2 linked regions of the Macaca mulatta genome follow. The protein of the gene in region 1 interacts with the protein of each later gene in a pairwise test. Links are inferred from orthologs where the notes say so. Each region holds a gene or a part of one and is shown on either strand. Other genes may lie near its edges.

What was found. The genes of interacting proteins can lie anywhere in the genome.
Region 2: the proteins of CLK2 (region 1) and LUZP4 interact in binary tests that used the Homo sapiens proteins (3 or more experiments, as listed by UniProt). The two-hybrid records come from large-scale screens. The link is inferred for Macaca mulatta from reciprocal best matches to the Homo sapiens genes CLK2 and LUZP4.

Annotation. Positions count from the first base shown.
Region 1 is NC_133406.1:111,721,784-111,725,304, reverse strand, and holds part of CLK2 (dual specificity protein kinase CLK2), read right to left. Parts: intron 3,055-3,521; coding exon 2,888-3,054; intron 2,107-2,887; coding exon 2,012-2,106; intron 975-2,011; coding exon 845-974; intron 748-844; coding exon 665-747; exon of another isoform or gene 501-664; coding exon 421-500; intron 241-420; coding exon 150-240; intron 1-149. UniProt on the Homo sapiens protein: Dual specificity kinase acting on both serine/threonine and tyrosine-containing substrates. Phosphorylates serine- and arginine-rich (SR) proteins of the spliceosomal complex.
Region 2 is NC_133426.1:121,839,507-121,843,715, forward strand, and holds the start of LUZP4 (leucine zipper protein 4), read left to right. Parts: upstream 1-1,407; 5' UTR 1,408-1,453; coding exon 1,454-1,544; intron 1,545-4,209. UniProt on the Homo sapiens protein: Export adapter involved in mRNA nuclear export in cancer cells. Binds and enhances the RNA-binding activity of the nuclear RNA export factor NXF1. Can restore mRNA export function in cells compromised by loss of mRNA export adapters.

The DNA.
Region 1 (3,521 bases):
TATGTTTCCTCTGTTGACCAAAGATGTCTTCTTTCAGCTTTCCTCCCCTCCTTTCCTAACCCTCTGCTTGTGAAGAGCATTCCAGGGGCAAACCACCCTAAGAAGTGACTTCTGGATGGTGGGCACTATTTATCCCGAGCCTGGCTCACCCGCAGCGGTTTGCAGTTCTCACGAACATAGCGCCCAGCTGATGTGTTCTCATCCCAATCCAGGCGACCCCGGTAAAAATATTTCTGCTTTCTAGAGGGGAAGGGGAGGTTGAGGAATCAGAAGGTCACCCTTGTTACAATTCCCTTATTTCCCCATCTGAAAGTAACTGGGGGGACAGGAGGCATCAAAGAAAAAAGAAACTGATGTGAAATAGACCAATTCTGTGGAGAGAAAAGGAAAAGGGTTAACTAGTGCACACTCAAGGTTCACCTTGTCTTTCGGATCATCCGGGAAGGGATAGGACCCAATATCCTTTCCATCATGGCTAGATGCTCTCTGTTGTCATGGGTCTGGGAAACAAAAACAGAACTGAGCATGGGACTGAAAAGGGCATGCTGAGGACCAGCTGCCAGGAAGATGGGCAATGTGGAGAACTGAGTAGGCAGGTCCTCAGCAGACAACAAAGCAACCAGGTAGAATGCCAGGTGGTCAAGTAAGATATCCCATCACTTACCTGGAAGAGGGTGAATCCCACATAGTACTCAAAGATGATGCAGCCTATACTCCATACATCACAAGGCTGTGACCAGCCCAACTCTGGGTGAGAATGGGAGGGAAAAGGTGTTATGAGGCTTAGGTGGCCCCACCCTCACCACATCATCTCACACACTTGGACAGCCTTGCCCTCCCTTACCAAGGATGACCTCTGGTGCTCGGTAATGGCGAGTGGAGACAATGGTGCTATGGTGCTCATGGTCAAAGGTGGCACTGCCAAAGTCTACCACCCGCACAGCTGTGCTCTTCACACTGCGCTCATCTCGCTTCTAGGAGCAGAGGAGGAAGAGGATGAACCTCTGCACCCAGACTGAGATTCCACCAGTATTCTCTACCGTGCTTCTGAGCCTTAAAAAAGCTACTGTGATCTCCTGCCTGGCCCCACAAGCCCTGGGAAATTTCCTGTTTTACAGCTCCCACCACATCCAGCATAATACTTTTAGAAGTAGGGGAGCAAAAGGATTAAGAAATGATTATAGAACAGCGTGCACATCTGTAAACATCTGAAGACTACACCCAAGTGCCGGATATACAGTTATTCTGAAAACGTGTAACATGTAGCAAATGGGTTTTCCTGAAAAAAATGTAACATGTAGCAAAGGGGTTTCTCTGAAAATATATAACATGCAGCAAAGGGGTCAAGGGAGGGAGAGCTTCTTTAGGTCTGAGATCTCCATCATCTCCAGTTAGTCAAGGGAGCCAAGCTTTCCTACCTCACAGAAATACACATCTCAAAAAACAAGTCCAGGCCAGGCGCTGTGGCTCACACCTGTAATCCCAGCATTCTGGGAGCCCGAGATAGGTGGATCCTCTGAGGTTAGGGGTTCGAGACCAGCCTGGCCAACATGGCAAAACCCCATCTCTACTAAAAACACAAAAACTAGCCAGGCATGGTGGCGGGTGCCTGTAATCCCAGCTACTCCAGAGGCTGAGGCAGGAGAATCACTTAAACTTGGGAGGTAGAAGTTGCAGTGAGCCAAGATTATGCCAGTGCACATCAGCCTGGGCAACAGAGCGAGACTCCAATCTCAAATAAATAAATAAATCAGTCAGTCAGTCCAAACAGAACCTTAAAATTTTTCACTCTACTGGAAAGTTATCTGAAGTCCCCTGTACAAGTTATCTCCCAATTTAAGTCTTAAGAGATCTCTCCCTTTCAACCTATCTAGTTTTACCCACTTGGAACCAGACAGGGAGAAAATGTGGCAGGACAAAATAAAAAGGGAGAAAAGAAAGGGCTCGGCAGAAGGCAAAGTGGCCCAGCTGCCTACCCCCAGTAACCAAGGGCAGACCCTATCCATCTTACCTTCTCTAGGTTGTAGGTGAGCTCATAGTCTGAATTCACAAACAGAATATTTTCAGGCTTGAGGTCTGTATGTGTCAGCTTGTTATCATGGAGGACTGTAGGGGAGAAGGCCAGGTCAGGCTTGGTGCAGGTGGCCAGAGCTAACTGGTATCAGCTGACCCCAGGCCTGGTTACCTAGGGCAAAGCCAGTGAGGAGACAGGTCCAGAATCACAAGAGGGCTGCTTTCTGCTCTACGTCTAAATGGAATGCCTGGTCTAAGAAGCTCTGCTCTATCTACAATAAGATACATATGTATCTCAACTGATGTAAAAAAAAAAAAAAAAAAGAGTTTGCTTTGAGTTATAGTGTGTATACACTTTGACATGTGTCTAGCTGGCATTATGTGAACTTAGTTCTGTGAAACTGTATTGTTTTGATGACTCCAGAGGAATAATGTATTTCTTTGAATTCCCCACCTTGCCCCTTAGCTGAACTACATACTCTGTGTTCACATCTGCTTTGCTTTGCATGAACATCTCATCCCAGACACATGTAAGCCTTTAACCTAAAGAGTGTATTTTTGTTTCTTTATATTTGCTGTCTGACTGATGCTTTCCCAAGAAGGGGAGGAAAGGAAAAGGGGAGGGTAATTAAGTGCTTTGATTCCAAAGGCTTTCTCTTCTAGCTGCTGCTAGGTTAGGTGTAGAGTAAGAGCAGTCAGTGACAATAAAGACATTAGTCAAGGAGCTAAGTCAGAAGACATTTCAAGATGACAGTAAAACAACTGCAGATAACAGAGAGCTGACTGTTTAGGGGCTTCACCAGTGCACAACCGACAGAGAGATCCAATGAAGGGAGGGGATGCTCGAGAGTCCATTTCAGCCCACCCCACTCACACTTGACAGCCTGGCACAGCTGGAAGGCCATGTGGCGCACTTGGTGGATGGGGTAGGGCAGGTAGTTGTTGTCTTTGAGGAAATCGAAGGTGCTAAGGCCCAGAAGCTCAAAGGAGATACACATGTGGCCATGGTAGTCAAACCAGTCAAACATCTGGACACAGAGGCTGAGAAGAGAGATGGGGGAAGGGGGGTTGTCTGATGAGCTCCCATCTGCCCATCAGCCCTCCAACAAGGAGGTACTTCATAGCTGTTGATTCCACAAACTTGTGTAAAACCATGCCAGTTAATACTAACACCAAAATTCAGTTCAGCTAGGGAATAGCCTCTGCAAGACCCAAGAAGAATGGTACTACTTGCCAAGTTTCAAAATATCTTCCTGCATCATTTTAAATAGTTCAAAAAACTATTTACTGAAGAGCTGTTGAGTGCCAAGTTCCAAACAGTACAGATCCTGGATCATCAAACTGTCCATCCTAAACCCCAACCCCAGCCCAACTCCTGATATTCATTCACCACCAGCTACCACTGGGCTCCTTTTTATACCTACTGGCCTCCTGTTTATACCTACTGGCCTCATATCTTGGCTTAATGTCCTTATTCTATTTTTGGACTGTGAATATATGTGAACAAA
Region 2 (4,209 bases), on another chromosome or scaffold:
ATCGAACAGCATGTGGCAGGTCGGGTATGGTGGGTCATGCCTGTAATCCCAACACTTTGGGAGGCCAAGGTGGGAGGATTGCTTGAGGCCAGGAGTTTAAGATCAGCTTGGCCAACATGGTGAGATCCCCATCTCTACAGCCCGAGAGGAGCCTGGGAGGTTAAGGCATGCCAACCTGGGCAACAGATCCAGGAAAGAAAGAAAAAAGAAAGAAAGGAAGGAAGGAAGGAAAAAAGGAAGGAAGCTAGCAAGGAAGGAAGGAAGGAAGGAAGAAAGGGAAGGAAGGAAGGAAGAAAGAGGAAGGAAGGAAAAGAAATAGCCGGGTGCGGTGAGGGAGGGAGGCCGAGGCGGGTGGAAAAAAAGAAGTTAGGAAGAAGGAAGGGAGGGAGGGAGGGAGGAAGGAAGGAAGGAAGGAAGGAAGGAAAGGAGAGAAAGAGGGAAAGAAACAAAAGAAAGGAAGGAAGGAAGGAAGGAAGGAAGGAAGGAAGGAAGGAAGGAAGGAAGGAAGGAAAAGAAATAGCCAGGTGTGGTGAGGGAGGGAGGCCGAGGTGGATGGAAAGAAAGAAAGTAGGAAGAAGAAAGAGGGAAGGAGGGAGGGAGGGAAAGTGTGGGCACGGTGGTATGAGGGCAGCCGAGACGGGTGGATCACTTGAGCCCAGGAGACCAGCCTGGCCAACATGGTGAAACTCCATCTCTACTAAAAATACAAAAATTAGCCAAGCGTGGTGGCACACTCCTGTTATCTCAGCTACTTGGGAGGCTGAGGTGGGAGAATCACTTGAATCTGAGAGGCAGAGGTTGCGGTGAATGGAGATGGCACCACTTCACTCCAGCCTGGGCGACAGAGAGAGATTGTCTCAGTAAAAAAAAAAAAAAAAAAAAAAAAAAAAAAAAAAGAGGAAAGAAAGAATGAAAGATGAAAGAAAGAAACAGAGAAAGAAAGAAAGAAAAGAAAAGAAAGAAAAGAAAGCATGTGGCATTGCAAGCCTGTGAATCCTCCCTAGATGTAAATTTGGGCTCGCTCTTGGAATTTGAGAGAAGCAGAGCACCAGCCCATTAAGTCAAGAATATAAGGTTTTATTCCCCATGAATGCCAACAGCAAAGAGGAGAAATGGGTTCTAGGAACTGTGAAAGGCAAGGGTCGGAACACCACATACACTAGAAACTTGTAGCCAACTAGGTAGTGTTCTGGGTGGAGACAATATTTTTAGAAAGGGGTATGCAGTGGGAGATGAGCGGGTCTTTCCTTTTTTTTTTTTTTTTCTAGTGAGCCAAGCTCCTGATAGGAGACTTGGTGAGAGGTATACGCCAAGCTCCACCCCTTGGGGCTTAGCAACAGCAAAGGAAGAGGCTATGATTGGAGGATCAGGTTAGCCCACCATGCTCCTCCCGCGCGGTGAGGGGGCGGTACACGCGCCTGAGCTCGGAGTGTGACGCCATGATACAGAGGAGATGGCTTCGTTTCAGAAGCTAACACTTCCTGAAAAAGTGTCGCCAAATCGTCCCAGTCGGAAAAAGGTTAACTTCCTAGATATGTCTCTAGGTATGTAGATCTCGGATCCCAGTCCCCACTAGTTTGGGCTCACTGGTCTTGAGCGCAAGACCTCGGCATACCGCTGACTAGAAGTGGCGTCGGGAGGAGCACACCGCTTCAAGGAGAGGCTTCCCCCTCAGGGCATCTCCGCACCTGCCCGGCCCCTATCCCTCCTCTCCTCTTCTTCTCCTCACCTCCAGCCCTCTCCTTTCAGGTGGGGAACTCTGAGGGAGGCTGACAAAAAGTGCGTGGGGATTAAGGATTGCTGAAAGGGGCAGGCGGAGAAAATAGACCATTTCCGTGTATTTTACTCTCCCAAGAATTGATACCTAATTACTGGCCTCCTTCAAACACATGGGGCCAAGTGCTCTTCTCAGTCCAAGCGGATGTCATAAATCACTAGATTCCAGGGCCCGGAGGAGCAAGCCTCAGGCTATTTTGCTAGGGATTCCAGCGTGGTAGTGCCAAGAGTTGTTGGTGGGTTGGTGTATCTGCTTTGTTGGAAGGGGTGGTTGGTGCGTTTATTTGCTTGTTGGCTGGTGGTTATTCGCTCTGGATCGCCTTTCTTTGCAGGCACTCTCTAGTCTCTAACTTGAGACCTCTACACGGAGAGTGGAACCTTAGAAAAAATAAATCCTTTATCAATGCCCCTAACCTCCTCCATTCGCACCAAACCCAGAAAAAGTGAATTTTACTCGGACCAGTTCCTCTGCTATTATCCACCTTAGAAATGGGGAAGAGGGGAGGGAATAGACTTTCCAAGCCAGATAGGGAGTGAGCAGAGCTGAGTAGAGGATGGAAGCTGACTTTAGAAATGGAGAGGGGCATCAGAGCACGGAAGAAGGAAACTGTAGAAATGGGGGAAGGAGGACAAAACAGAAAAGGCCTACTTTATTTATTTAGGTTTGTGTGTCTGTGTGTGAAACAGGGGCTTGCTCTGTTTCTCAAGCAGGTGTGCAGTGGCATCATCTTGGCTCACTGCAACCTCCACCCCCTGGCGTCAAGCGATCCTCCCACCTCAGCCGCCCGAGTAGCTGGGACTACAGGCACATGCCACCACACCCGTCTAGGTTGTTTTTTGTTTTTGTTTTTGTTTTTTTGTATTAGTAGAACGAGGTTTCACCATGTTGCCCAGACTGGTCTCCTGGTCTCAAGTGATCTGCCCCCCTCGGCCTCCCAAAGTCCTGCAATTACAGGCGTGAGCCACCGCCCCCAGCCTGGTTAGTTGTTTTTGAGACAAGGTCAGGGACTGTTGTCTGGGCTGGAGTATAGTGGCACGATCAAGGCTCACTGTGGCCTCAAGCTCTCAGGCTCAATCAAGTGATCCTACCACCTCAGCCTCTAGAGGAACTGGAACCACAGGTGCTTGCCACCACACCTACCTAATTTTTAAATTTTTGTAGAGAATGGGTCTCCTTATGTTGCCCAGGCTGGTCTCGAACTCCTGGCCTCAAACAATCCTCCCGGCTCGGCCTCCCAAAATGCTGGGATTGTGGGCCTGAGCCACCGCGCCTGGCCAGGGGCCACTTTAGAAATGAGAGAGGGAGAGGCAGAGCAGTGGGAGCTGAGCTTCAATGTGGAAGTGCAGGGGTGGAGCGAGGAGAAGCAGGAACAAGGAGGGCGGACCTTAGAAATGGATGGAACAGTGGAAAGAGGGTTCACCTTAGAGATGAGAATAGGGGAGCAGAGCAGGGAGGGCTGAACTTTAAAAGGGGCAGGATAAGTGGAGGGAGAGTGTACCATAGAAATGAAGAAGTTTGGCTGGGCTTGGTGGCTCATTCCTGTAATCCCAGCAGTTTGGGAGGCTGAGGTGGGCGGCTTACTTGAGGCCAGGAGTTCGAGACCAGCCTGGCCAACATGGTGAAACCCCATCTGTACTAAAAATACAAAAATTAGCTGGGCATGGTGTTGTGTGCCTGTAGTCCCAGCTATGTGGGAGGCTGAGGCAGGAGAATTGCTTGAACCCGGGAGGTGGAGGCTCCAGTGAGTTGAGATCGCGGCACTGCACTCCAGCCTGGGTGCCAGAGTGAGACTCCATCTCAAAAAAAAAAAAAAAAAAAAAAAAGTACTGAAATGAAGAGGGGCGCTGTGGCTCATGCCTGTAATCGTGGGAGGCAGAGGTTAGGCTGGTCTTGAACTCCTGACCTCAAGTGATACGCTTGCCTCGGCCTCACACAGTGCTGGGATTACAGGCGTGAGCCACCTCGCCCGGCCTAAACTTTCTTTATAGTGTCCTTTGAAGTCCTGAAGTTTCAGATTCTGATAAAATACAATTTATCTGTTTTTTTGTTGTTGTTCATGCTTTGGAGTCATTTCTAGAAAATCATGAAGATATACCCTTGTTTCCTTCTGAGTTTTCTAGTTTTAACTCTTACATTTACATCTTTGATCCATTTTGAGTTCATTCTTGTATATGGGGTGAGTTAAGAGCCAACTTCATTATATTGCATTTTGATGTCTAATTGTTCCAGCACTACTTGTTAAAAAGACTAATTTTCCTCCATTGAAAGCTCTTCTTGGTGGAATTGCTTTCTTAATTTCATTTTTGGATAGTTAATTGCTGGTATATATAAATAGAATTAATTTTTGCATATAGATCTTGTATCCTGCAACCTTGCTGAGCGTGTTCATTAGTGCTAATCTCCGTGTGTGTGTGTGTGTGTGTGTGTGTGTA